2 linked regions of the Anolis sagrei genome follow. The protein of the gene in region 2 interacts with the protein of the main gene of each other region in a pairwise test. Links are inferred from orthologs where the notes say so. Each region holds a gene or a part of one and is shown on either strand. Other genes may lie near its edges.

Evidence for each region.
Region 1: the proteins of EEA1 (region 2) and RAB5B interact in binary tests that used the Homo sapiens proteins (3 or more experiments, as listed by UniProt). The link is inferred for Anolis sagrei from reciprocal best matches to the Homo sapiens genes EEA1 and RAB5B.

Annotation. Positions count from the first base shown.
Region 1 is NC_090022.1:146,515,129-146,529,848, reverse strand, and holds the start of RAB5B (ras-related protein Rab-5B), read right to left. Parts: upstream 6,823-14,720; 5' UTR 6,752-6,822; exon of another isoform or gene 6,675-6,751; intron 1-6,674. Other genes in the region: CDK2 (cyclin-dependent kinase 2), read right to left, coding at 13,149-13,253. UniProt on the Homo sapiens protein: The small GTPases Rab are key regulators of intracellular membrane trafficking, from the formation of transport vesicles to their fusion with membranes.
Region 2 is NC_090025.1:154,438,756-154,454,360, forward strand, and holds the start of EEA1 (early endosome antigen 1), read right to left. Parts: upstream 7,616-15,605; 5' UTR 7,436-7,615; coding exon 7,412-7,435; intron 1-7,411. UniProt on the Homo sapiens protein: Binds phospholipid vesicles containing phosphatidylinositol 3-phosphate and participates in endosomal trafficking.

The sequences.
Region 1 (14,720 bases), on a different chromosome or scaffold from region 2:
GACAGAATTATGCACAGGAGTTTCCACAAGTATGACTGCTCAAAAAGTTCAGAATCAATATTTTTGGGACTCTCCCATATTTATTTACCATATGTATATCCCGCCTTTCTTACCCCAGAGGGGACTCAAGGCGGCCTTACAACAGACAGCGGTTTGATGCCATACACACATATATCAAATAAACTATTACAATTAAAACCAAACAATTAAAATCATGCCATTATATCAGTTAAAAACACATAGTATCAGTTCAATACAAAATATACAATCAATATATAATAAAATAATTAGTGGATAGTTTAAAATTCATAATTTTAAAATAATCTGCATAGGTTAACCTGAAGGGATTGATCTTTAATGCTAATAGATGGCAGTATAGTACCAACAGCATCATTCATCTTACTTCAAAATCTTATCTGAAGGCAGTGGAAAACATGCCGAATCTATCACTGTATCAAGTCATCGCCACTACAACTACTGTAATTTCTGCTTTCATGTTTTTCCCACAGATTCCAAACAAGACTCCAATGTTTGAAACAAGCAAATATCATCAGTGAGAGACTCTAGTTCATTCCTATTTAAGCATGTAAAATGAGCACATTGGAGGCGAGTTGTTCTGTTTGACTGGGATCTGTTTGCACCAATTCAAGGATAAACCTGAAAGAAGTGAGATTACATGTTTACCCATCCTATTGTTCTACTCTTGAAGGGAGTGCCTTTTAATGCTGGCAGAGCAAGATGGGAAGCTGACATTTGCCAGGAATATTACATCAGGGTCAGAGAACAAGAGGCAGTTTAGATATCTGGCTTGATTTTTCCAAGGGGCAAAGACCTCACTAAATTAAATGTCTTCCCTTGACAGATTATTTAATTAGATTATGGCACAAAAGACAGTTAAATGAACCACAAAAGTAATCTTTCAGAGAGAGTATGTCTGTCACCCTATCAGCAATGTACACTTTATACTGAGATCTGTGATAGCAGTCAGGATATCCTTGTGTTAGGGTGCCTATCAAGCGCTGTCCCAGAACGCTTTTAAAGGACTAACATTTTTCTCAACAGCACTGACTTATTCTACGGGTTCTGTAGAATAAATAAATACTGTATCTTCAACTGTCACATATCTGGTCTTCATATTTTAAACAGAGATCTAGTGGCTTTCATCAGTTTAATAAAGGATTGAAATATGCACCAAGACAATAGCCATACAAAGCACACTGCTACTAAATTCTTACAATTTGACACTCTGTGTTGAATCACCATTCAATACTGATTGAATGGGTCTACACAGGTTGGGGCTAAATAACAGGATGCCACTCTATGGTATACATCTGTGACAGTGAAGCAGAACTGAAACTCTTCCAGAGAAGGATGATATCATTGGCAGTAATCAAGAACCCTCATTTTTGCCTTGGAATATATTAATTCATTTGCACGTGTCTGCCCCACACCAACTCTCCTCTAACTGCTCAAAGAACAAAACCAAGTGGCTTAAACAAAATATGTGAAGGCGCACACATTAGCATGCAGTACAAAATGCATAGGCTTGACAACTTGGAATCTTTTTCTGATAAAATGGAAGGATAGAAGACATACTCATAATCTTAACATGCACCCTATATACTCATGTATAAGTCTAGAAATTATAGTCAAAAAACCAACCCAAAAAACCTGAGTTGGTGTATCTATGAGTCAATATGAGTGTACTTGACTTTACATCTCATTGAAAAAAAGGAATGATTCCCTTCTCTGAGAACAGTGGTGAAAGGTAAGAGCTTAGTCCATCCTGGGAGAACCTAAGAGCTGAACTGATCTCTACTCTCTGTGCCGTGGTGCCAATTCTGGAATTTTGAGTACTTCATCCTGAGACAGAATTGGTGCTTTCCCCTTTCTGTGGAATGACCCTCAACTTATCTACAGGGCATATATATATATACACACACACACACACACCCATGAATTTGGCCCCAAAACCCACCCTTGACTTTTACATGAAGTCAACTTATGCATAAGTATATATGGTAAGTACAAGCTCATATATGTGAGCAAAGCAAAAGAAAATACATATGTGTTCTTCCTTCCATCAAACACCTATACTTTCTGAACAAAGTTCAAGATTGGTTTGATCTGCAATCAATTGAGATATTCGATAATTTACAACACATCAGGTTTCTGCTACTGCTCTTGACTCTGAAATGCCTTCCTGCAATCTTCCAGGAAAAAACACTGGCGTACTGGTTGTGATCAAAACCCTAAATATATTTAAGCACTGCACACCCTTGAAATTACCTTGTACTTAATATTTTCAACTCTGATCAATAGAGACCATTTAACAGCATGATCTGAGCACAATGTCTGAATAAAATATTAAGGCAAGGGTTACTCTATATTTATGGATTTCCCTCCACCTGAAGATCAGAGCAAAGGTTTGAATATATTTCAGAAGCAACATTGTATCTTTAGGTGTGGAGTCTATTTGGGGACCTGGGTTAAAATCTATAGTATTATTTGGTGCTTTGCATCTCCAAAGTGAGTCAGATTATTGTAAACTTAAATATAACATATACATGTTAGTTCATTACTTAAGAAGAACAAGGTACTACAAAGCATTCTAGATTTTAGTATTTCAGTGAGCTTCTTTCACATATTGCTTGAGCACTTTTCAAGCAGATTAAGGACAAAGGACACCAGTTTCAAGGCAGTGCAAGGCAGGAAGTGGACTGGCTGTTTCATATGGGTCAGCTAGCAGGAACAGCAACAAATCCCTGTATTGCTAAGTGGCCAAAGAAACTGCTGTGCTGGATCAGACCAAAGGTCAGCCTTACATTCTGCTTTCAAATTCAAGCAGCTGGGAGTCAGAACATGAAGATAATAAACACCCTCTGCCACCTGGTACTTGGTTAAGAGATAACCTTCTCCAACAAACCCAAAGGTGCTCTTTTAAGGCTTTTGGGAATTCTCTTGTCTTCCACTGCAGTCAAATTACCAAAATTACCAGCAACACTTGGAATTGGATTTTTCCTCAAAAAGAAAATAGGAACCCTTTCAATTTCTAGGTTGAAAGAAATTTACAATCACCAATACAAATCTTGTATATAGGATGACAGAAATGTGTGACAATTTAAATGTTGTTATGCCCTACTAATGGGACATTTTTAGAAAAATAAGATTACTAAAAACAGATAATCCTTGATTTGTTATATCTAATACATGTATTACTTTTTCTAGCTACATACACTCATGGAGGACAGCCAGCCTAAGCAAACAACACTGTTAGTGCCACTTTACAAAGAACTTTGTTGAATAAATACTGGAAATAAATATTTAAGAAATGACAGGAGAAAACGGAGTGCAAAATAAAGACTACACATTCCAATTATTATTTTAGTGGAGGCAAAAGACACATAGGCACCTAACAGCCAGAAAAATAGATGTAAAAATAAATATTACTAGAAAGAAATCAAACAAACATTCAGTACTTTGCTTAATAATGGCACACTATTATGCAAGTTCTGACAAAATACTATTGAGAAATTATGCTTTCAGCTCTTTATACCAACACTACTTCACATTAGTTTGACTGTTCTAAACAGTTCTGTAATCTCAATAAGATTCTGCAATGAAGTTTAACTTTTTTACTGGGGGCGAGGGTGGGATATAATGCTATACAGAATGTCTTATCCTCTTAAGATAACATCACACTTAAGCTAAACAATCTAGCCACATCAACTACAAAATCATGCAAGAAATGTTGAAATTGGCTGTCATTTAGCAAGCAAAGGTAAATTGGTAACAGTAGCAAGGAATAATAACAGAGGGAGAAGCAACTTCTTTCAGAAGATTAGGGGAAAGTCTCCACAAGTAAACAATATAAGGCTTATCATTTGCTATGCTGCAGACTGGACAAGAGATTCTAGGACAAACCCACACTGAATGACTTCATAACTCTTTGCAATCTAATCCGAATGATTCACATCCTTTCTTTTCTTTGCAGTCCTACAAATGGTTCAGTATCAGATTCCAAACCTGAGTAACAGCAAAGGGAAACCCATGGAGGAAAAAAACCACTGAATCTAAAAAAACAACCACTCCAATAAAATAGCCCATGGAACATACCAGTGACTTATCCAACTAGTCTGAACATAAGATGGACTGCACAGTTTACTTTTTAAAACAATTCAGCACTGATAACTTCAAACCACCAGGCTCTGTGGTGCTTTATGAGAAAAGGATATATGTTAAGTATTTGCAACTAGCCATCTCTGTCTTGATATTCCTGAACAACAAAAGAATGTAATTTTTTCTTCACTGTTTCTCTGGGCAACTTGCCCACACCAATGCATTTTTAATAGAGACAGGCTGTAAAAAGAACAGATTATAAGCGCCTTAAAGCAGGAAAAGATCCATGAATCCCTAATGTGCCCATCTCTATAACATTCATGAGATAAATACCAGTATTAGTGAAAGCATCAGACATGCCCAACCAGAATTCTGGCATCAGACATGACCAACCAGAACTCAAAGGTTCTCTATGAAAGCTGTTTGCACTGTGGGTGACTTTGCTTTAAAAATCAGACAATAGCCTGAAATACTTTCCTTCTCCCAAGGACCCATTTTTATAGAGAGAAACCATCATGATTTATTAGAGTGCTCAATGGTGAAAAGGGGCACTTCAGTGCTGCGGGAAAGCACAAAGGTTTCCAAAGTAACAAAATATGGACAGTCCAAAGAACTAGCAGCTTCAACAGGTCAAACAACTCAACTGTAAAGAAACTAGGGCAGCAGCAAGCTCTACTACCCAGGTGCTGTGTAGCGTCCCACCTTCATTATGCAAGAAGCAGGTCTTGTGGCTTTGATGTGACTCCTCTACAACTATGTTACCAGGTCAGGATTTCGGGAACAAAAAACAGACTTTGGTTGCTACCGCACTGTAGGATCAATGCATTTTGACACCACTTTAACCTTCATGGCTCCTGCTCTGGAATCCTGTGATTTGTTGTTTATTGCGGTACGAAGGCCCTTTGGCAGAGAAGGTTAAAGACCTTGCAAAACTACAACTGCTAGGATTCCATAGCAAAGAAACATGGCAGTAAAAAGTGGTGACAAAATGTATTAATTCTACAGTGTAAATCAGGCACCCTTAAACTGCAGCCCTCCAGCTGTTTCGGTCTCCAACTCCGAGAAGTCCTAGCCAGCTTCATCAATGGTCAGGAATTCTGAGAGTGGAGGCCCAAATAGCTGGAGGGCCACAGTGTGATGATACCTAGTGTAGATGTATTTTTCAGCTAGTACACTGACTACAGAAATATATCCTGCTGTAGTCTTTGATCCAAGGCTATGGTTCCCAACCTTTGCGCTGTCAAGTGTTTAGCACTTCAATTTCCAGGAACCCCAGTCAACTTGGGAAACTGTCAGGATTTTGGGGAATTGAAGTCCAAAACCCCTGGAGAACTAAAGGGTGGGAACCATGAACATCTGGCAAGGTTTCTCAGCAGCCTAAATCTAAAAGCATTGCTACCAAGAGTGTGATTAACACATACAGGCTGCTGTGGCTACCTGGCACCCAGGGAGTGCTCCCAAAGGCTATGGCACTCCGGCACTTTTGTTTCCACATCATTCAACCAAACCACAGTTTGCCCCCACAGAAAGCAAGGCGCAAAGCTGAGAACTACACAGATGTGGAACGCAACCTCTCCAACCTCCTTCCACCCCTCTATGGCCCCTTCCATACATTGGAATCAAACCCCACATTTTCTGCTTTGAACTGGAATATATGGCAGTGTGGACTGAAGGTCCCTTCCATACATCCATGTAACCCAGACTATCAAGGCAGAAAATCCCACAATATCTATCTGGGACATCTGAGTCCACACTGCTATATATTCCAGTTCAAGCAGAAAATGTGAGATTTTATTCAGCTGTGTGGAAGGGTCCTCTAACTCCGGTCCTCCAAAATCTTACTCCAGTACTCAGACCACTATAGCATGCATTATCTACTCAGGGGCCTTCCACAATGCCCTATAACCCAGATTATCAAGGCGGAAAATCCCACAATATCTGCTTTGAATCTGGGTTATCTGAATCCACACTCAGAGAATGTGGGATTTCCTGCCTTGATATACTGGGATAAAGGGTTGTGTGGAAGGGCCCTGGGCTATATGAGTCCACACTGCCATATATCTCAGTTCAAAGCAGAAAATGTGGCATTTTATACAGCTGTGTGGAAGGGGCCTCAGATAGCCCAGTTCAAAGCCGATATTGTGGGATTTTCTGCCTTGATATTCTGGGATATAGGGCTGTGTGGAAGGGTCCTATCTCTAATTAACACAAAACCCGCCTCTATTCAACCTAATTCCAAGGCTGAGAGACCCCTCACACCGGCCCCGTGGCCCGAGGGTGCTTGCCGGGCCTTTCCTCCTTGCCTAGCCCCCTTCCGCCATTTCCTCGCTCCCACCCAGCCCTAGCCAAGCGCCCACCCTTCCTGGCTCGGGGAAGGAGGGCCTACCCCAAGCTGCTGCCGCCGCCGCCGCCCGCTCTGAGGGGCCTCCTTCCTTCCTTCCTTCCCGCCCGCCCCTCTCCGCTCCAAGGCCCCGGCTTCTCCTCCTCCTCCTCCCCCGCAGCCCCCTCCCGATCGCCTAGGCAACCAAGCCCCCCTCCCACCCCTCGAGGGCTACCTGGGACGGCTCCGACTGCCCCCCTCCGCGGGCCCCGACTGCCTCGCACACAAACAAACTCCCTCAACCAAACCCACCTCTGCACGCGGAGGCGGCGCTGGAGCGCGTCCCCGGCCAATGGGCGCAAGGCACCTGGGGCACGGACACGCCCTCCCGGCCAATCGCCTTTGAGGAAACCGCGCCCTGGCCCCGTCCGGCTAATTGGGGCTCCGCGAAGGGAAGAATGGGCAGGAGCGGTCTCGCCAATGGCAGGAAGGAGGCGGGAGAGCCAATTAGAAAGCACCTCGCGGGGAAGGAAGGGAGGGCATTTGCTTAAACGACGAGGGAGCCCACCAGTAGGAAGGCGGCTTCATAAACAACACATAAGGTGACCTAAAGGGGGCGGGACCATGGAGCCGCTAAAACCAATTAGAACTCTAGAATTCAGTTCTCGCTGTCCATTCCCAGGCCGGAGGCCCTCGAGGTCGGGGGAGGGAGAGTGATTGACAGAGGAGCTGGTGGGCGCGGCTCGAACTTTTTTACCCAATCAGGGAGCGCGCTGTCACGCACGCCCAATGAGAAGTGACCTCGGATTTGAGTGGCAGCATTTTGCTCCTTAGAAAAAGGGTGCCTAGGAGGCGCCTAACCCTTGACCTCTTTGGGTCCCTTATAATCAGGAGAAGATCTTGGAGTCCGGAAGTATATCTAACTGGGGAGCCGTGCTCTCGGTGGAGAAACGCTTCAGTGGTCAGTGCAGGTTGGGCCCCCTTCCTGGGATCAGGCGTGTTTGGGATTTCAGATTGTTTCATATTTTGTACTTGCATGTATTTATTTATTTACGACATTTATATGCCGCCCTTCTCACCCTGAAGGGAACTCAGAACGGCTTGCAAGATATTTGTCTATATACAATATATTATATTATTAGCATAGTACAATATCAGTATTATATATTACGATATTGTACTATCTATATAAATAAAAATGTAATGTTCGTTTGTGGGGTTAACATAACTCAAAAATCACTGGACGAATTGACACCAGATTTGGACACTACACCCTTAACAGACCAACGAGTGACCGTCACTCATAACCGCCGCCGCCCCCCACCCACCCAAATAGTGGAAAGGACTTAAAAACCCCAAAAAGGTAAATGATGAAAAGCTAAATGACGATACAGAAAAAAAGGGAGAGAAGGAAGGGGAGAAAGAAAGGAAGAAAGAAAAAGGAAAGAGAGGAAGGGAAGAGAGAAGGAAGCATGGAAGCAAAGGATGAAGGAAGGAAAGAATGACGACCTTATGTAATTATATGATTGTATTTTAATGTGTTAGGGTATTATGGGATGTGATGTTTTAAAATATTGTTTATGAATCTTCTGTTGTGAACTGGACTGAATCCCTCTGCGGAGGTCGAGAAGACCGGTATATAAAAGTTCTAAATAAATAAATAAAAAGTAGAGAAGGAAGAAAGGAGAGAAAGAGAAAGGAAACGAAAAAGGGGGAAAGAAAGAAGGACAGAAAAAAAAGGAAAGGAAGGAAAGAGGGAGTGAAGGAAGGAAAGAAGCAGAAAAAGAGAGAAGGAAAGAGAGGGAAGTGAAAAGCAAAGGAAGGAATGAGGTAGAGAAGAAAGGTAGAGAAGGAAAGGACAGAAAAAAGGAAAGAAAGAGGGAGCGAAGGAAGGAGGGAAAGAAGCATAAAAAAGAGGGAGAGAAGGGAAGAGAAAAGGAAGGATGGAGGCAAAGAGCTAAGGAAGGAAAGGTAGAGAAGGAAGAAAGGAGAGAAATAGGAAGGAAAATAAAAAGGGGGAAGGAAAGAAAGAGGTAGAGAAGGAAGGAGAAAAGGAAAGAAATAAGGAAAGAAGGAGGGAAGGAAGGAGAGAAAGAGGGAGGAAAGGTTGGTCACAGCAACGCATGGTGGGTACAGCTAGTATCTTTCTATATAAATAAAAATGTAATGTTCATTTGTGGGATTAACATAACTCAAAAAACACTGGACAAATTGACATCAAATTTGGACACAATGCACATATCAGGCCAATGAGTGGCCATCACTCATAAAAACACTGAAAAACACAGCAGAAGAGACTTAAAAAATAAAAAATGAATTACAATGCACGTGCATAACCACATATATATACACAAACACACATATGTACACATATACACAAATATATACACACACAAAACACATATATACAGACTGGGCCACAGCAACAAGTGGCAGGGGACAACTAGTACCATTATATTGTAATATTATTAGTAACAGTACATGTAATATAAATATCTTATTATTAGTAGTAGTATTATATTGCATTGCATTACAATATTATTAATATTATATGTATATGCAATGTATTATATTACATTATATATTATTAGAATAGCACAGGAGACAAGGTGGAATTGTCCCCTGGCCCCCTCTCTCTTCACTCTGGCCCAGAGCAGCAGATATCTTGGAGATGGGGCCCAAGTCTAGACACACACTCCATTGGTGTTTCATATACATCTTATGCACATAGCCTGAAGGAAATCTGTCAAAATACGTATGACTGAACATAAAATATAATAGGACAAATTATCCATAAGATAATAGAACATTTAAACATAAAGTATAAAAATTATAAACACCTGATAAAAATCACATGATCCAAACTGGTAGATCGAGGCATTCCAAATGTCGATTACACATATTCCATATACAATATAATACAATTCCATATTCAAGTTACACATATTCCATATGCAACATAATACAATTCCATAACACAAACAGAGGTAAAGACAGTTTTCTCATCACATTTCCAGCATCTTGGAGCTGTGTTCAACTCTGGTGAAGAAGGGTGTTGCTGTCTTCCATGCCGAGGAGCTTTCCTCCGATGTCCTTAAGGGCATCTTTATTCTCTCCCCCCTAAAAGCGGTACCTATTATATCTACACGCATTTCTGCTTTCAACCTGCTAGGTGGGCACGTGAGCTGGGTCTAATGGCGGGTGCTCACACTGACCTGGGCTCAAACAGCTGACCTTCTGATCTGCAATATTTTTATGCAGCACAGCAGTTTAGCCTGCTGCTCTAAGCCCGCCCCCTGATAAGTTCAACCCATCAGCAATGCGTCCGACATTTTGATATACGTTTTATGCACTGCTTTTCTTGATTAGCAGATGGACATTATGCTTCTCAAAATGAATTACTATCTGAACCATGCATCCTCAAACTACAGCCCTCCAGCTGTTTGGGCCTCCAGTTTCCAGAAGCCCTCATTGGCCTGTTCAATGCTCATGAATAACTGACTGAACCTGTTTTAACTCATTTGGCAATTTGAGTGAGGGAGCTGCATTCACAAGCCAAATCACTACCTTGCTGAAATCAATTCTCACTTTGTCTTGTAGTAATAGCTGTTACTTTTATCACACTGAATCCTAATAAACGCAAACAGGAAATCTGTAGTCCAAACTATTGTCTACTCATGGCAAGGATGGGAACCTTCAGCTCTTCAGAAGTTTTTAGGATGCCATCAGTCGCAGTTAATATGATCAATGATCAGGCACCCATTTTAATCTTTCAAACCTCCATTTCTCATTTCTTGACAATGAAATTCTTGGTAATAATTGATCAGAAAGACACAAAGAGAATTCAGGTACATATAAATGCTCTATATGCTGCTTACAGTTTCTGTAGCTATAGGACACTTACTATCAATTTAAACACTTGAAGATAGCATCCAATAATGAAGTACATGTTCTGCAGTTGGGTTAATATCACATCGCTGCTGTATGTGTTGTGCCTTGGAAGTAAATGCCCTTTTGGAGCTTTTTAGGAATGGTCCTAGCACTAAAGAACACCTCTGATGTGCAAAAGCTTTCAAGTTCAGTTCAGCTTGACAAGACAAAAGATTCTGGTCTGAAATCCTGGAAAGCTGCTATTAGTGTAGTAAGTATTGACCTAGGCTGGCTGCTCATTTGACTTCATATAAGGCAGCTATGTAAAGAATATGAGTTTAACATATAGAACCGCTTCCACATGGGCCTATAGGTAACTAGCAGTATGGAGGTAATTCATTGGTTCTCAATAAACTGGCTCCCATATTTTCACCACTTAAGATTTATATGGTTTGCAGGACTTGTGTGGTTCAGCTTTCTCTATTTCTTTGGGTCCACAGACTCACGAATCGAGTGTATCCCTGATAGGCTGCAGTGTAGATACAAGTGTGCAATAAATCAGTTTTGTTTGAAGAGAACTAATATTAATAGCACAAAACGGTTCTACCTCGAGAGATGCTCACAGTAATCAGTGGTACTCAACCTGTGGGTCCCCAGATGTTTTGGCCTTCAACTCCCAGAAATCCTAACAGCTGATAAACTGGTTGGGATTTCTGGGAGTTGAAGACCAAACCACCCATGGGCCCACAGGTTGACAACCACTGCAGTAGATGAAGAGCTCAGATTTCATTACATCATCCAATCGGAAAAATACTCAAGAAATGCTCCTTTAAAACTACAAAATACTTTTAATTATGCATAAACAGGTGTTAGTTAAAAATCAAGTCTTACAAAGATCTACAGACAAAAATATTTTTTCTTTAAAAAGTCCACATTGAAAAAATGCCAAGGTGCTTAGACTTACAAGCTTTTTACAAATCAGAAATTCATCAGCCTTATAAATATATCTATTACTTCCAACCAAAAGATCAAGAGAAGAAAAAAAGAAATGTATCCAAATATTGTATATAGCAGTGGAGTCAGCGTTTATGATGAGCATTTTGCTGATTCATTTTGGAATTTACACTTCTATAACAAGCATTCCCATGTTAGCCCAACTGATGTGAAATGCCCCCAACTCTCTCAAGTGAAGACCACTGCATGTCACCTGTATTTTTCAAGATATACAGTTATAGATTATATAATAATCTGTTTCAGTAATTCTGTTGCTGAGTTTGAGTTGAGGACAATTGAACCTTACTTTCCTTAGGACACTTCTTTTTTTGATAGAATATATGTCACCCAAAATAGAATTTTACAAAATAAAGAGCCCACCCCCTCCCCCCAGCTCTCATAATGCTGCTGGTGATAGATTGATCCAAATATCTAGAGGGTAACATTTCAAAATCTATCATAGATAAGGCAAAAACATTGGGTTTGTTCATGTTATTGGATTGACTAAGGTTTCAATGCTTAATATTGCATTGAGACAAAACCTTAATGTTGTAGGCATGTCTTCAAAACTAACAAAAAGGGTACCTATAGCTCTTCACCAATGAAAATATAATAATTACTTCTTTTGACAGTATATAAACCATTTTATGGAATTTGCCTGATAAATCCATGGGTTTAGCTAATTTTCCCCTTAGACATAAACATCATTGTTTTTATTATATCTCAAGTCCTTTGAAACCATGCAGTGTGTTTCACTGAAAGAACCCCAAATGCTTTACTTCCTTCAAACCAAAATTGGCATAGTGATAGAAACTGTTTCCAGACATCCATCTTTGTGCAGGGCAGCACAGGTTACAAATGTGATGACATTTTCAGTAAGATACACATCAGTAGTAGAGAGACAGAACTCTCTACTCCTGCAAGCCAAGGCAGATTTGCTCCAGTTGTAGGTATTTGGAAGAGATCTTTGAGATCAACGACAGTTGAGCACAAGACACCATTGGAGAAAGGCACCTTTGCAGAGAGCATGGCCTGATGAAGTTTGTAACCATATCTATTGCATTAATGTTTAATGGGCTATAAGCATATAGACAGAGACAAATAATACATGTACAGGAGTAGGATGTGGAAGGATGAGTGGAACAGTGATAGTATGTACCCATTTGCCCAATAAACACTAGTACATCAGAAAAGTCAAGAATGTCTAGTGACATGGCAAGCAGTCCTTTAGATGGTTAGCAAGACATTCTGAGTTCCCAGAGTGTGAGCTTCATGAGCCCCAAGGCACGTTAATTTTGATTTTGTAGAATCATTGGCCAGAGTAAAATATTTTCCTGTTCACAATAAGTGGAGAGTTAAGTGCACAATTTTCTTCTGAAGGTCTGGAAGGAAAAAGAGGGCAAGGTTCTGCTAGCACCGGAATGCACTTGACAGAATGCCAGGCAGGCACCATAGTTGAAGTCAATATCCTGATATGAATAAGAAAAATGGTTTCTTGCTGGCAGCAACATTTTCTCAAAGAAAAGCACAGCTGAGTTCTATATTGAAGATGAAACCAGAGGGTCGGCCAAGACAGAAGATGCTCTGCGAGAAGAGCAAGAGGTGAGGGTTTCTTCCACAAAATGAGTCCTTGAAGCAGGTGGCTCTGGAGGCCCTTCCCTCGTGTCACAAGGCTCCCTGGAAGCACCCAGTCTTCAGCTAGTGCTTTCAAATATACCTCAGAGTATAAACTATTAAAGTGTAGACTCTGTGCCAAGAGGAACCATAGCATGCCATTCAAGATTAAGTTGAAAAGTTAAGTGCAAGCAACCAGTGCAGTCCAAAGAAGCAGCATTGCTCCTGATTCTTACAGGCGGAGGTGCGGCACAGCTTTTGTGACATCCCGGAAGAAGGGGTGGCTGAGAGCTGTCTTGGCTGAGATTCTCTTGTTAGGATCATAATGCAGCATTTGCTAAAGGGGAAAGGAAGATGAGTTATAATAACTGGCAGGAAACCCCACCCACCCCCAAATAGGATAAATCAATCACCTCCCTCTTCCAGACAAGAGCTGTGCCTCTCAGAACAAAGATATGATTCTATATCCAAATCAAGAGATGGGACAAAAACAAGACTACCAAGAAAAAATAATGATCCAAGAAACCTATCCCTTAGTTCTTTCTCTCTTGATGTCTTCTCTTCTCGCTTATACCATCCCTCTATCCACTCTGTTTTGTTCTCACCCCTTTCTCCTCCACCAGCCGCTTTTAAATAATATAATCAAGGTAAGATAGTTGCAGACAGGAAGGCATGTGTTATATACCTGATCAATGAAACCGCAGATGCCACAAATTGTTTTTTTAGGATCCTTGGCTCCGCTTGCAAAGTCAATCTTCTACAATTGATCTTTGCAGACTACATTTCTTGACTGAAAGTGGAGCAACAAAAGGGTGCCACCATTATCTTACACAGAAAAAATGTTCTGCTAAAGCTATTTGATAACGCTTAAGATAGCAGCCAGACTATTCTTTAGCCAGCCAAGGCTAAATTGATTGCATGGATTTTTAATCAATGACTATTGCTATATTTTTTTTTGTCAATTGTATATGTCTGGTTTTAAATATGCCATTGTATTTTAATGTTCATATACTGTATTTTATATGTGGCGTGGCATTATGTGTGCTATTTGTAAGCCACCCGAGCCCCTATGGGAGATGGTGGCGGGGTATAAATAAAAGATTATTATTATTATTATTATTATTATTATTTGAAGAATGAGTGAAGTATACAGGTAGAAATGCAAATAAAAATAAACGATTGTAAAATAAGAACCCATGGTTGGAACAGTCTTCCTTAACCTGATAATTCCCAGATGTACTAAATTACCACCATTCTCAGAAAACAATGCCATTATGGACTTTGTAGTCCATGTGGGAGGAAATCCAGGTTGAAAGGAAACTACTACAAAAGAGCAAAAAGACGCCTTTTGAAGGAGCCAGTTACAAAAGTGCTCCACCAGTGACAACGGGCATGCCATTCTCTATAATTTCCATCGTGTGGCACTACACTAATGGTTTAATCAAGGAGATAATATAACTGAACCAACCAAACAAGTTCAATCTTTAGTGTTCACAACAGCTAATATATTTTCAGCCCTGATGTTCTAAATGTTCTACTCAGTGCTGGCATTAAGAAAAAGGATTCAAACTTCAGAACATGCTACAAGGGCCAGGACTCTCAGTGAACGGAACAGATTCTGAAAGCTGTGATAAGTTTCTCCCAGGTTCTGTCCCGATCTCTAGGAAAGGGACACTTGAATGCGGATAAAATATGTAATCTTATAAAAGCAGCAGACTTTTTCTCAAATCTTACCACAGGAAACTACCATATATACTCGAGTATAAGCCGAGGCATCTAATTTTACCACAAAAACTGGGGAAAA
Region 2 (15,605 bases):
AAATGAAAATACGCATCTTTTAAGTCGATGGTGGCGAACCATACACCCTCCGACAGTAAAGGTAAAATAGAAGCAAGAGTGACCATTCTAAACTTTTTCGGACGAATATGTTTATTTAGGTGTCTGAGGTCAAGGATGGGTCGCAGCCCACCTCCGCGCTTGGCAACCAGGAAGTAGCGGGAAAAGAAACAATATGGGAACACTGAAGGATCCAGGGGAGAAACAGCCCCTTTGTCCAATAACAGTTGAATCTCATCCAATAATGGAGCGGATGACAGTGTACGCCTGACGAGGCCCACCCTGGGTAGGTCACAGAACTCAATTTCATAACCCTGAGAAACAATAGACAATACCCAGACATCAGTGGTAATGCTAGACCAAGCTTGACGGAATGGGAATAACCTGTCTTCAAACAAGGGAGTGCCTGTAGGTGAAAGGATCGGAACAACAGGGGCCGAAACAACAGAACTAGGCGAAAGCACCTCGGGCGTCCCTTGAGCAATTTCGGGTACAGGTGCGTCAAAGGCGCTTCTTGGGCCCTTGCTGAGTCTTGGATTTGTTACCAAAGGACTGGTTACGGGACCTCTGGAAGTAGGGGGCCCGACGCCCGCCCTGGAACCTGGAGGAGTTAGTATTTCTAGCCCTGAAGGAGCTCCCATAGGAGTTACCATAGTTTCTACGGAAACCCGAGGATGGAGAATTCCACTTTTGTCGGTGTTGGGGGTAGGGCTGCCAGACGTATCCGAATTTGCCTGCTGCCTGCCTAACGTCTTGCTTCTGTTTCATTCTATCATCAGTTTGAGGATTGAAAAGGCCATCCTCGTGGAAGGGAAGGTCCTCAGCGAGGGCCTTCCCTTCCTCCGACAGGTTAGAAGCACGCAGCCACGCATGTCTCCTCAGTGAAGTTGCGATGGAGTACAGGTTGCCTGCGGCCTCGGCCATGTGTTTAGCCGAGTCTTTCTGCATTTTAGACAATATCAGTGCCTCCGTCTGCAACGCTTTCGGAAAGCGTTGTCGGTCGGCAGGCAGTAATTCAATGTATTCCAACATCTTTCCCCATAAAAAGGTTTGGTAACCACTTGCATAAGTAATATAGTGGGCCATTCGGGTAAATAGCCCTGCTGAGAGATGGGCTTTTCGTCCCAGAGCATCGATCTTTTTGCCCTCCCTGTCAGGGGGGGCGGTAAGTGAATTTTTGGGTCTTTTGGTCTTCGCTACCTCGGCCACCACGGTGTTTGGTTTAGGAGGGGCTGTCACCCATTTAGCCGACGACACATCGATTTTATATAATAGGTCCAAACGCCGGGGGATGGCGGGGACCAAGGAGGGGGACATATCAGACACTCTAGCTAACTTCAGAAGGTAGGGGAGGACCGGGAGAGGTGACGCGGGGGCTACAACCTGTTCCTCTGACGGGAACATCGGGTCCTCCACATGCTCGGGGGGTTTGGGAGCGGGGATGTTCAAAGCCTTTATCATTCTATCAATGAGTGCCGCAAACTTATTGAAATCAGCAGGGTGAATAAATGAGGCATTCTCCCCCTCCCCAACATGAGCATTATCCAATTGTTCATGGTCAGAGTCAGAGCTAGCCAATTCAGCGGCCCTTTGTTCAGAGCCTTCAGGCAGGGGTGTCCTAGATAGTCCCATGGGGGTGGAATCACCTTGAAAGTTGGCTTGTGAAACAGCCAAAGCGGTGACATTGTCCCCTGGTAGTCTGTCCTGGGTGTAGGTAGGCAACGCCGACACAGGTAAAGATGAGGTTGGCACAGATGACACAGCACACACGTTAGAGTCATTCGAGGTCGATGCAAAGGATGCTCCGCAGGGAGGGGCTCTCCCCGGAGCCTGTTGACTGGAGGTGGGAGGTTGGGCAGCTGCGACCGACAGGCAAGCAGCTGGAGGTGGTAAGGCCCCCGTTGTCGCTGGAACTGTGAATGAAGGCATCGGCAGGGGAGGCGCGGGGGGTGCCGGGGCCTGCACAAACACCATTTGGCCCGAGGGGCCCATCTGCCAGAACCCGGGGCAGGGAGGAGGGACCATAGAAGGGCGATGCCACCGCGAGGGTCTGGAGGCCCGGGATCGCCTGCTCCTCCTCGAATAGGCTGAGGAGCAGGAGGAAGACGATGAGGAGGAGGTCGACGAGGAGCGCGAGCGCCTCGAAGCCGACCGACGCCAGCGGCGACGCGACCTCCCACTCCTCCTAGATGGAGACCTGGACCTCCTCGGTCTGGCGCTACGGCGGTGTTCCTGGTGGCGCGGCCAACTTTGGTCGGGAGGCGCCGGTACCGGCTCAGCAGAGGCTTCCTCTCCCGCGGGTTCGCCCCCTCCGGGAGCATCCACGGCATTTGGTTGAGCACGATCGGGACCAACCTCGGCTGCTTCGCCCGGTGTCGGGGGAGGCGGGGTTGTAAATATCCCCTCCAACAGGGAAGCCGGCAGAAGAGGCAGCGGCCCTGAGGCCATAGCAACAGCCCCCGCCGGATCAGGCGGCATCGGGGACTCTCGGGCCCGGCTAAGGGGCGGGGGCGAGACGACCGGCATCGCGGCGGTGGGAGGAGTCTGGCCCGCCTGCGCCATAGCGGGCGCATGCGCGGATAGAGGCGTCGACGTCGACGGAGCCGCGAAAGTACACTCGGCCGCCTGTAGAGGGAGCACGGCCCCAGGAGGGCCTTCCGGCGTCGGCGGCAACGTAGTTGGCCGGCGAGCATCCAGCACTCTTCCCGCTCTTTCTAAGGGAGGTCTTTCCTGAGCGGGAGCATGGCGGCCATCTTGAGCCTCCTTAGGCTTGGGCCTCTTGTCCTTCTTCTTGGCCGGGCCGGCCGAGGAAGCCAGGAAAGGTAGGTCCGAACGCTCGGTCGGTTGGACGGGGGCGGCGGGAGGCATGAGAGCCCTTTCATAGAGAGCCGCCCGAAGCCTGGACACCCTGTTCTTCCTCGTTTGAGGAGTAAAAGAGAGGCATATGGCGCAAGATTGCGTCAGATGGGCCTCTCCCAGGCAAGTAAGGCAAAGGGTGTGCCCATCGGTGTCCGGTAGGATGTTAGGGCATTTGGTACACTTCTTGAAGGAAGTGGTTGCCATAGCTCAATGCCGATTCCGGTCCGCGTCAGTAACGTTAGAGATCAGTCCAATTCAGATCTAACCAGAGGGTTTGGCAAAAGGATCGTCGAAAAGCAGTCCAGTGTCAAATGAGAGGGCTTGCCAGAAGAGTCGTCGAAGAACAGTCCAAGTCAAAAGGATCAATCTAGCAATGACAGAAGGTTCTCAAAGCTGCTTCACACGCGAGCGGATTAAGAGAACTGCCGGCTAGTCCCGCCCTCAGGCTATATATACTCGGGGGGGGGGGGGGGGGCGGGCCTAGCTGAGGGCTTAAAGTGTTCTGACTTTCTAGAAGGTTCCGTAAAGTTGTATTGCGCAAGCGCAGGGATACCAAATGTACGATTCACAGTGACTACGACAGGAAACCAAAACTTCCTCTTTTTAATGCAATCAGTGGAATGGAAAAGCCAAAATGCATATAATAGCCAAACACTGATCCAGTACCATATACTGACAGCAATTCTCCAGACTTATGGGCAAGTCTTTCTTAAATCTTCTTAGTGAAGACAATTTAATTACAAAGCCAGACTGAATATGGGCTCACATTACCTATAAATCTTGAGTCAAAACCCTTCCACAATCAGGGGAATCATTCCAATGTCCCTCCAGATGTTGTTTGAAAGCAACTCGAGGATCCTAACCAGCAAACCCACTTGGCTGGTGAGGAATTCTGAGAGTTGCAACAACATATGGGGGATGTCATGATTCCTCCCCTAGCCACAGTAAGTTGGAGAAGTAATAAAAGATTATTTAAAAAAACCAACTACAAAAGACAATTGTAAGAGCTTTACTGGCTGGGGAGGTACTTTATATCATCTTAGTACAGGTGTATTTGCCCTTTTCAGGCACGTGCAGCTTGTACAAACTATCAATAAGTGGATGTGTGGTACCATATTTTGCCACCAACGTTTGCAAATGTATGCAAACAGGTGTGTGAGATATCAAGAGTCTGTATGAGCCAACAGGCAATGACTCCTGCAACTTCGCACTGATGTAATCTGCTGTGATGTTTAATAACAGCAGCCTTGGAAGAGTCAGTGAGTAATGTCATCCGCCCTCAAAGGGAGTCACCTCCCAGCGACAAGGAGAAATGAGTCTGGCTTAACTCTGTGTCAAGTGCTGAGGCCTTTAGCACTAGGCTTTGCAGCAACTGGAGATAAATTCACAGAAGCTAAGCTAAAAGTTCCCTCAAAGCTGTATGAATCCTCTATATCAGTGGTTCTCCACCTGTGGGTCCCCAGGTGTTTTAGCCTACAACTCCCAGAAATCCCAGCTAGTTTACCAGCTGTTAGGAGTTCTGGGAGTTGAAGGCCAAAACATCTGGGGACCCACAGGTTGAGAACCAATGCTCTATATATTGGTCATGATTAATTCCTCCCTTCTAAATTTCATCCCATCTTCTTTCCTCCTTCTTGTTCCACCCATCACTATGAAGATGGAGCTTCCCTTACCATCATAATTTAGTCTGCCAACCATCTGAAAACAACCCCATAGCCTAATGACATGTTGGGGCAGCTCCAGAAATGAACCAGTCACCAAATTGTTCCACAGGTGTTCATCAAACTCCTACTTTCTCTTCACCCACCAACATAAAGATGGAGCTCTCCATAACAGAGTCATTGAGTCTGCTAACAATCTGGCAGTTTATGGAATGATGCCAGATAGGGGAACTTCAGAGTCTGATCCTTCACCAAATGACTTTCATAAATATTCACCAAACTCCTAATTTCTCCACCATCATGAAGATGGAACGTCCCATACCACCATAATTTAATTTACCATCTTCCTGACAGTAATCTTATGTCACGATGACATACAGAATCACTTCCAGGGACAAATCTTTCACCAAATGTGTCCCATAGGTGTTCACCAAACTCACACCATAATTTAGTCTGCCAATCATTTGACAGTAACCCAGGGGCATGATGACATGTAGGAGCAGTTCCAGAGACAAAACCTTCACCAAATGAATTCCTCCTAGTTTCTTTACAACCATCATCACAAAGATGGAGCTCCCCATTCCACCATAATTTAGTTTGCCAGCTCTCTGGTAGCAACCCAATGGCATGATGACATTCAGAGGCATCTCCAGGAATAAATCCTTCACCAAATGGGTTCTATAGGTGTTCACCAAATTCCTACTTTCTTTCAACCCACCACCACGAAAATGGAGCTCTCTCATGCTACCATAATTTAGTTTGCACATACTGCAGGTTAAGTATCCCTTATGCTTAGGATCAGAAGTGTTTCAGATTTCTGATTCTGGAACACCTGTATTTGAACATATATACACAAGGAGATATCTTGGAAATGAGATCCAAGTCTAAACATGAAAATCAGTTATGTTTAACCCAGGGGCATGATGGCATGTAGGAACAGCTTCAGATCCTTCATCAAATGAGTGCCACAGGATTTCACCAAATTCCTACTTTCTGTTACCTCCCCTTCCACCAAAAGATTGTTTCTGCTTAGTCCTTATCCCGCACCAGGCTGATCAAAAGGGCCCCCACTCCAGTTGCAAATCTCCAAGAGTATATGGTTCAAATGCTGCCTGCTCAATAGAGACCCTGTCTTTGAAACGCAGTCTACCCTCCATAAGAATGAATTCTGCATCCACAGATTCCACCATCCACAGCTTGAAATATTTTTTAAAAATCCAAAAAAGTAAACTTCAATTGTGCCATTTTATAAAAGGGATAAAAGGACTTGAACATCCATGGATTTTGAGGTCCTACAAGGTGGGTCAAAACTCACAAAGAGGTTTTGAAACTTGATAACTCCTTTTTTATGTTTAATTTGCAATACCATAGTGTTGTATATAGGCAGTCCCAGAGTTACAAGCATCTAACAAAAGACTCATAGTCAAGAACAAGAGTGCCACAACAGGAAGTGAGAGAAATCTACTCCTCGGAAGGGAAATTAAGTCCTGAGAGAGTTATCATGGGGCATCTCCACTGGAGCGTTATCCCCAATCCTTGTTTCCACAAGTCATTTTTTCCAAAATCCAATTATCAAAGGGACAGAAAGTGAGTTGGATTCTTCTGAACAAGGGCACAAGCAGGAAAACAAACCCAACAGGGGTGTTAACCCTTTCCTGTACTATTCAAAGCTTGCATATATATCTCTCTCCAGACAAAGATAGATAGACAGACAGACAGACAGACAGACAGACAGATATAGATAGCTCTCAACCTGTAGGCCACAGCCCAGCTGTGGGCTGTGAGAACGAAAATCCGGTTTGCAAACTTTCTTTCTTTTTTTATTTGGTTTTATTTTTTTATTTCTGCTCATTTCCTCAGAGTCAACCAACCTTTTGGTACTAATGTTCCAAAGTGGTCCCTGGTCAAAGTGGGCCCTGGTTAAAGTGGGCCCTGGTCAAGTGGTCACTGTTCAAAGTGTGCCCTGGTTAAAGTAGTCACTGTTCAAAGTGGTCACTGTTCAAAGTGTGCCCTGGTCAAAGTGGTAACTGTCCAAAATGGGCCCTGGTCAAAGTTGTCCCTGGTCAAAGTGGGCTCTGGTCAAGTGGTCCCTGGACAAAGCGGTCCCTGGACAAAGTGGTCCCTGGACAAAGTGGGCCTGGTCAAAGTGGACCCTGACCAAAGTGCGCCTTGGTCAAAACAAAGGTTGGGAGCCACTGATATATAGCATAGGGAAGGGTTAACACCCATGTGGTGGTGGTTTTGCTCTATATGGGGCTGGATTTAAACTTTATAATGTGTCTGTTCCGACTTACATGCACATTCAACTTAAGAACAAATCTTGTTCGTAACTTGGGACTGTCTGTACAGTATTTATAGGCATCACAATCACATTACATTATGTGTAAAAAAAAATCTTGTCAAAAATTCGTTAAAAACCAGGGGCCTTTGTGAATGTTGGCCCTCCCTGCAGAACCAAACCCCAGTGGAGACATTCAGGGGGAAGTGGCCCAATCCAACACGAGTAGTCGGGGCCTAGATTTCCCCCACACCATCCCCAGTGGCCCCCTTGGCTTTGCCTGGAGAGACCCTCTCTCTGGAGGGAGGGAGGCCTAAGCCTTCCTCCTCATCCGAGGCCTGAGGGCAGGAGGAGGCCGGCAGGGGCGCGGGCTCCACGTTGTGCATGGAAGGGGAGGCGAGGCAGTGGGAGAGGCGAAGGCCAGGCGGCCCCAGGCGGCAGAGGGGGCGCGACCCTGCTCTGCTGCTGCTGCTGCCCGAGCCCGGCTCCAGGAAGTAGTAGTGCCTCCTCCTCCTCCTCCTCCTCCCCAGGCTGCTGCTCTTGCTGTGGCTTCTCCCGCTTGACCTCTGGCACCGACCCCCGCCCGGCCCCTTACCCTCTGCAAAATCCGCCTAAACATGGTGGCGGCGGCGGCGGAAGTGGCGGCGGCTCCTCCTCAGCGCGGGCCCCTCGGCGCCCTGGCCCGCACAGCCCTTCACCCGCCTGCCTGCCTGCCTCCCAGGCCCGGCCCAACTCGCTCCGTCGCCGCCTGACAGCCGAGGGTGGCGCTGCCTGCCAGGGCCCGGGCGGGGGACGGAGCGAGGGAGGGAGCGAGGGAAGCACCTCCTCCCAGGGCCGCGCTGCGCAAGATGGAGGCGGAGCGTCCCTCCTTGGGCCCGAAAGGGAAGCCGGCCGAGCCTCAGCTCAAGGAGTGCCAGGAGGCCTCTTCTCAGGAAAGGAGGCCGGCGGTTTCCCCTCAGCCACAGGAAGGGGGGTGGCTTGTCAAAGGAAGAAACAGCTCTCCTTCCTTCTCTTCTTTCCTCCTTCCTTTTTTCTTTCCCCTTCCCTCCTTTCCTCCTTCTCCTCCCTTCCCTTCTTCCCTCTTTCTTTCTTTCTTTCTTTCTTCCCCCCTCCCTTCCTCCCTCCTTCCTTGCTTCCATCTTCCTTCCTCCTCCCTCCCTCCCTCCTTCCTTCTTTCTTCCCCACTCCTTTCTTCCTTCCTTTCGTTCCTCCTTCCTTTCTTTCCCCCTCCCTCCCCCTTCTTTCTTCCTTCTCTCTCTTTCCTTCCCTTCTTTCCTCTTTCTTTCTTCCTTCCTCTTTCCCCTCCTTCTTTCCCCCTCCCTCCTTCCTTTCTTCCATCTTCCTTCCTCCTCCCTCTCTCATTCCTTTATTCTTCCCCACACTCCCTCATTCCTTCCTTCCCATTTTTCCTCCTTCCTTCTTTCTTTCCCCCTCCCTCCCCATCTTTCTTCCTTCTCTATCCTCCGTTCCCTTCTTTCCTTCCCCTCCTTCCTTCCTTTCTTTAACTTTCCCCCCTCCTTCCATCCCCCTCCCTCCTTCCTTGCTTCTATCTTCCTTCTTCCTCCCTCTCTCATTCCTTCCTTTTTTCTTCCCCACACTCCCTCCTTCCTTACTTCCCTTTTTTCCTCCTTCTTTCTTTCCCCCTCCCTCCCCCATCTTTCTTCCTTCTCTCTCCTCCCTCCCTTCCTTCCTTCCTTCCTTTCTTCCTTTCTTTCTTCCCCCTCCTTCCTCCTTCCTTCCTCTCCTTCCCCTTCCCTCCTTCCCCTTCCCTCCTTCCTTGCTTCGATCTTCCTTCTTCTTCCCTCTCTCATTCCTTCCTTATTTCTTCCCCGCTCCCTTCCTTCTCCCTCCATCCTTCCCTTCTTTCCTCCTTCTTTCTTTCCCCCTCCCTCCTTCCTGCGTTTTTTTCTTTTCCTTCCTTCCTGTATCCCTTCTTTTCTTCCCCCTCCATCATTCTTCCTTCCTCCTCCCTTCCTTCTTCCCCACTCCTTACTCCCTCCTTCCCATCTTTCCTTCCCCCTGCCTCACTCTGTCTTTCCTTGTAACTTCCTTTCTCTCTTTCCCCCTCCCTCCCTCCATTCTGCCTTCCTTCTTCCTTCCCCCTCCCCATCTTCCTTCTTTCTTCCCCTTCCCTCTCGCTTTCATTCTTCCTTTCTCTTTTCCCTTCTACTTCCTTCCTGCCTTCCTTCTTCCTTCCCCCTCTTTCCCTCCTTCTTTGCTTCCTTTTTTTCTTCCCCCTCACTCTCACCTTCCTTCCTTCTTTCTTCCCCTCTTCCTTTCTCCTTCCCCCTCCCTCCTTCTTCCTTTTTTCTTCCACCTCCCTCTCTTTCATTCTTCTTCCTTTCCCCTTCTCCCTCCTTCCTGCCTTCCTTCTTCCTTCCCCCTCTTTCCCTCCTTCTTTGCTTCCTTCTTTCTTCTCCCTCATTCCTCCCTTCTTTCCTTCTTCCTTACTTCTTTTTTCCTTTCTCATCCCGCCTTTCAGCCTTTATTCTTCTCCCTCCCCCATCTTCCTTCATGTATTCCTTCCTTTCCTTCTTCCCCCTTCCTGCCTTCCTTCTTTCTTCCCCCTCCTTTCCTCCTGTCTTTCTTCAGTCTGTCTATCTTTCTTCCCATTTCCTGTTTCCATAGCTTGCAGCTTGCCCAATGAGGAAATGCATTCCACAATCTCTCCCAGGTTGTGATTTGAAAGTCAACAGGGCTCCGAGGCATGTGCACTCCTCCAGCTCTGACCTCAGTAGAGTTTGTACAGGTTGACCATCACTTACGCTTGGGACTGGAGGCATTTTGGATTTAGGGGATTTTTCAGAACTTGGAGTGCATCTATACTGTGGAATATGTTATATATGAACATAAACAAATTTCATGGTTAGTCTTTGGTCTTATTTCCGAGATATCTCATTTTGTACATATATGCAAATATAGATTTTCCTAGAGTGCATCTACTCTGCAATTTGACATCATTTAAACTGCCATGACTCAATGCTATAAATTTATGAGAGGTGTAATTTTACAAGATCTTTAGTTTTCTCTACCCAAGAATGATGGCACCTCACTAAACTTCAACTCCCATGATTCCAACAGAATTGAGTTATGGCAGTTAAAGAAAAATATTGTAAATAGTTTTGTACATGGTATAAAGTCTGTGTACACTGAAGTATTAGAAAACAAAGATATTACTCAGCCACTTACGTGGGGAAAAAATGAGATTAGGAATGTTCAATCTGTTGTTAATATTATCTAGGGCTCAAAATCAGCACACATCACAAAACAACACAACACACCCATCCCTCCACACTTCAACAACACATAGAACCACATTAATGTTTTAATTGTTAGAGTCATTTGCTTTCAAAGCAAATCATGAGATTTACAGAAAAAGTCATAGGATTACACCTTTGGGGTGACATTTCACTGTTGACTCCTTCGTGAGTGCTCTTTTGGTCCTTTTAAGGTTGTCTTCTCCCATTTTCCCACTTTCACTGTTTCCTGAATATCCCATAATATGATTGTTGGCTAAGAATGTCTAATATATCTGGAAATTGTCAATTTATGAAAGCTTGTCCTGAAGCAGGAGATTCCATCCTGTAATTTCTTGGCTGATCCAGGATTTTTCTCTTTTTCTTCAAACATGTAGTGATAACTCACCTTTCAGTTTCCTTGTTTGTTTAAGGTGAATGAAGAATAAGTGGTGTTGAAAAGTAAATAATGAAGTGAAAAGGTGCTGATCCACTCAAGTGCAGTAATTAGGGACTGACCACAAAAAATCAGTTCATGAATCAAGGTTAGAAAAATAAGATATGTTTCTAGTGCCTTAAAACATATAATAATTAGAAGGAGGAGAAGTACTGATTCTTGCAGTCCAGGATCAAGTAATCAGAACAAATGCAATCAAGGCCAGGATCAAAAATCAGCTGATCCAAAATGCAGACTGTGCAAGGATGAAACCATTGATTATAACCTCAGCTGCTGCAAGAAAATCGCACAAACAGACTACAAACAAAGGCACAACTATGTGGCCCAAATGATTCATTGGAACTTATGCCACAAGAACGACCTGCCAGTAGTAAAGAACTGGTGGGATCATAAACTCGCAAAGGTAGTGGAATATGAACATGCAAAAATACTGTGGGACTTTCAAATTTAGACTGACAAAGTTTTGGAACATAATACACCAGACCTCGTGATTGTGGGGGGGGGGGGGGGGGGAGTTTGGATTATTGATGTTGCCATACCAGGTGACAATCAAATTGACAAACAACAACAGGAAAAACTCAGCCATTATCAGAACTTCAAAATCGAACTGCAAATGCTCTGGCATAAACCAGTACAGGTGGTCCCATTGGTAATCGGCACACTGAGTGCCGTGCCAAAAGATCTCAGCCGGCATTTGGAAACAATAAACATTGACAAAATCATGATCTGTGAACTGCAAAAGGCCACCTTACATGGATCTGCGCACATCATTCAAAAATGCATCACAGAGCCCTAGACACTTGGGAAGTGTTCAGCTTGTAATTTTGTGATACGAAACCCAGCATATATATCTTGTTTACTGTGACATACTGTGTTTTTGTGTCAGTAAAATAAGAAGAGGAGGAGGAGGAGGAGGAGGAGGAAGATGACACTTAGGAAGTGTCCGACGTGTAATCCAATACAACAGCCAGCAGAGTGATCTTGGCTGCTGTGGACTCATCTTGTTGTGTTTCTAATAATAATAATAATAATAATAATAATAATAATAATAATAATAATAATAATAATAATAGATACAGCTTAATGGTGTAACATTGGAAAATGTTGACCATTTCCGCTACCTTGGCAGTCACCTCTCTACCAAAGTCAACATCGACACCGAAATACAACACCGCCTGAGTTCGGCAAGTGCAGCATTTTTCCGAATGGAGCAGAGAGTGTTTGAGGACCAGGACATCCGTAGGGATACCAAGGTGCTTGTTTATAAAGCTATTGTCCTCCCAACCCTGCTATATGCCTGCGAAACGTGGACAGTCTACAGATGTCACATGCAGCTCCTGGAACGATTCCATCAGTGCTGCTTCCGGAAAATCCTGCAAATCTCTTGGGAAGACAGGCGGACAAACGTCAGCTTGCTGAAAGAAGCGATGGTCCTCCACCATCAAATCCGCTGGACTGGCCACGTTGTCCGGATGCCCAACCACTGTCTCCCAAAGCAGTTGCTCTTCTTCGAACTCAAGAACGGAAAACGGAATGTTGGTGGACAGGAAAAGAGATTTAAAGATGGGCTCAAAGCCAACCTTAAAAACTCTGGCATAGACACTGAGAACTGGGAAGCCCTGGCCCTTGAGCGCTCCAGCTAGAAGTCAGCTGTGACCAGTGCTGCAGAATTTGAAGAGGCACGAATGGTGAAAGAGAGAAACGTGCCAAGGGGAAGGCGCGTCAAGCCAACTCCTTCCACCTGGAAATCAATGCCCTCGCTGCGGAAGAAGATGCAGATCAAGAATAGAGCTCCACAGCCACCTACAGACTCACAAGAATTCTGATCCTGGAAGACTATCCTACTCGGCTGACAAGGGATCACCTAAGAAAAGAATAATAATAAGTGGGAAGTGTTCGACTTGTGATTTTTTGATACGAAATCCAGCATATAGATCTCGTTTGCTGTGACATACTCTGCTTTTATGTCAGTAAAATAATAATAATAATAATAATAATAATAATAATAATAATAATATATTAGAGCATTCTACACAACAGTTTTGCTATTTGCTCTCTCTCTGCACTCACAATCAAGAAATGCTGTTCTCAGAAAGCAGTGGTAAGAGCATTCAAGATTTAGGATCCCAAATTTAGTCTGATGAAACTTCCAGCTTAAAAGATCACTTATTAAATAAGATCCTTCTCTGCATGTATCATATTTTAAAATGTATTTAAGCGTTTGAATGTGGCACTTTAAAACAGATGTCTATCACTTTAAAAAGTGATGTCTGTTTCCATTTTACATGGTTGCAGAAAAGTAACTCAAAGTCTGCTAAATGTGTTTTAAACTTCAAGTTCCACTAAAGCAGGGTTTGTGAGAGAGGAGAGAGATATATAGAAGCTAAGAGATGAGAAAATGAGAAAGTAATTAACATAAACTTTCCACTTAATTATCAAAATATGCAGCAGTGAGTGGATACTAAAAATAGAGGACTACAAAGAGGTGCATTGAAGCTCACCCCCAAACAACCATGTACAAAATCAGAACACAACATCAATACAATTAGAGAAGGAGGAGAATGAAATATTCTCCCGGCCCATCCACTTGTCATCCAGAACCCCCCCCTCCCCCCCCCCCGCCCCAACAGCTTCCATATAGTTGGAGGGGGGCACCCAGCCTTCAATCCAAAACACAATATCTTCCCCCACATTGCATTTTTATATTCCAGACAGGGACTTACCATTTCTCTTCCTTTCCACTCACTTGCTTATAAAATCTGCAGCAGGTCAATTAGAAAAACTAGTCAGTCAGTACAAAGCCATGTGTTGCAGTTCCTCCAATTTTAATCCTTCTCCTGAGACCCTCGTGTTATATCTGGCAGAGGGCGAGCTGCCCTACTCCAACTAATTCTAACATTATGATATCTAATTTGTTTAAGAGTAGGAATAACTGCAGTGTACTCATGCACTCTGGAGTTGAGCCATGTTGGTATGAGGGAAAGCAAATGATGCAGCAAATTAATTTAAGCTTCCCCCCCCCCCCCCCTTGCCACATTCATCAGGGATCACAGAAAAAAGATAGATTGGAAAAGGAATGGGAGCAGGACTGAAACTGTCCATTTTTAATTACCAAATAAGTCTTGAGTGCCTCATAAAACAACTAAAATAAATGTAAGAGCCTAATCTGTGTATTCAGCATCTTTTGTTCCACAGTGCCCAACCATATGGGAAGCCCAAACACAGTTACGCTCAAGGATGTACCTTAAATTAGAAGACATCATGTAGTCTCAAGATAATGTAAGAAGTGTTGTTGTTATTAACTGTTGTCAAGTTTAGTTTGATTTTTGGCAACCCTGTGAATGAGAAACCTTTAAGTCAACTGGCTATCAATAGTCCTGCAGACTAGGGCTGTGGCTTCCAACATTGAATCCATCTATCTGGAATATCGTCTTTCTCTTTTCTTACTGCCTAAAATACAAACATTGTATTTTATAGCGAGTCATATTTTCTCATAATAAGGCCAAAGTTCAACAGTCTCAATTTAGTCATTGTGGATTTTAAAGAGAGTTGGTTTTTTTCTCTGTTGTTGTTCATTCGTTCAGTTGTTTCTGACTCTCCGTGGCCTCATGGACCAGCCCACACCAGAGCGCCCTGTCAGCCGTCACCACCCCCAGCTCCTTCAAGGTCAATCCAGTCACTTCAAGGATCCCATCCATCCATCTTGCCCTTGGTCACCCCCTCTTCCTTTTTCCTTCCATTTCCCCAGCATCATTGTCTTCTCTAAGCTTTCCTTTCTTCTCATGATGTGGCCAAGGTACTTCATCTTTGCCTCTACTATCCTTCCTCCAATGAGCAGGCGGACTTTATTTCCTGAAGGATGGACTGGTTGGGTCTTCTCGCAGTCCAAGGCACTCTCAGAACTTTCCTCCAGCACCACAGTTCAAAAGCATCTATCTTCCTTCGCTCAGCCTTCCCTATGGTCCAGCTTTCACATCAGTAGGTGACTATGGGGAATACCATTGCTTTAACTATGCGGATCTTCGTTGCCAGTGTGATGTCTCTACTCTTCACTATTTTATCGAGATTGGACATTGCTCTCCTCCCAAGAAATAAGTGTCTCCTAATTTCCTGACTGCAGTCTTTATCTGCAGTCATCTTTGCATCTAAAAATACAAAGTCTGTCACTGCCTCCACATTTTCTCCCTCTATTTCCCAGTTCCCAATCATTCTTGTTGCCATAATCTTGTTGTTGTTTTTTTAATGTTTAGCTGCAACCCAGCTTTTGGGTTTTTTCTCTAGGACTCACTTATTTGTTTTTTTTTTTTTTAGTAGGCCACAGTATCCTTAGATCTTTTCTCCAGCAGCACATTTTAAATAAGTTGATTTTCTTTCTATAAACTTTCTTCATAGTCCATCTTACCCAACCATACATAGAAATAGGAACCATTTATAAGGTTACTGAAAATTAACCAAAGCTGAAAAATGAAATTCTCATGTCAAATTCTGTTAAAGTCAAACAACAAAAAGATGATAGCACAGGGAAATGTGATGTTATCAGAAATATGGTAAATCGGTTGCTCCACATCTGAACATGTGCTGGTACAGCTGTACCAGGAGCTCCAATTTTGTTTGCTTTGAATTGAGTGTTTGTTGTAGTCCTAAGTTTCAGGGACTCTGCAGATAGGTGGCTTCTTTTGGCTGCAATCATAGGGCAAGCCACCTGTCAATTATAGTTAGGTTCCCTGGTCCCACCCCCTTTGGGTTTTTGGTGGGAATAGGAGCCTTTTTGAGTTCAGTCCACACAGAGAAGCCTTTCGCACAGGACATAAAACCAAGAGCTCCTGTAGAAAGCTTCGTCTTCTACGGCTTGGCCGGGGAGATATACAGCTTACGGCTTGGCCGGGGAGAAAAGGCCCCACAGCTTGGCTGAGGATTTTACAGCCTTACAGCTCCTTTGATGAAGGACTTCAGCCAGCCATCACTGAAACCTGAACTCCTTCTTTTCCCCCTGGAAGTCTACAAAGCTCTGCTTGGTAAGGGTCACTCGCGGAAGCCAGACGCAGTTGGTACTGGGTGCAGGGGCTCCACGCCAACAGAGGCAAGTACAGACTGCC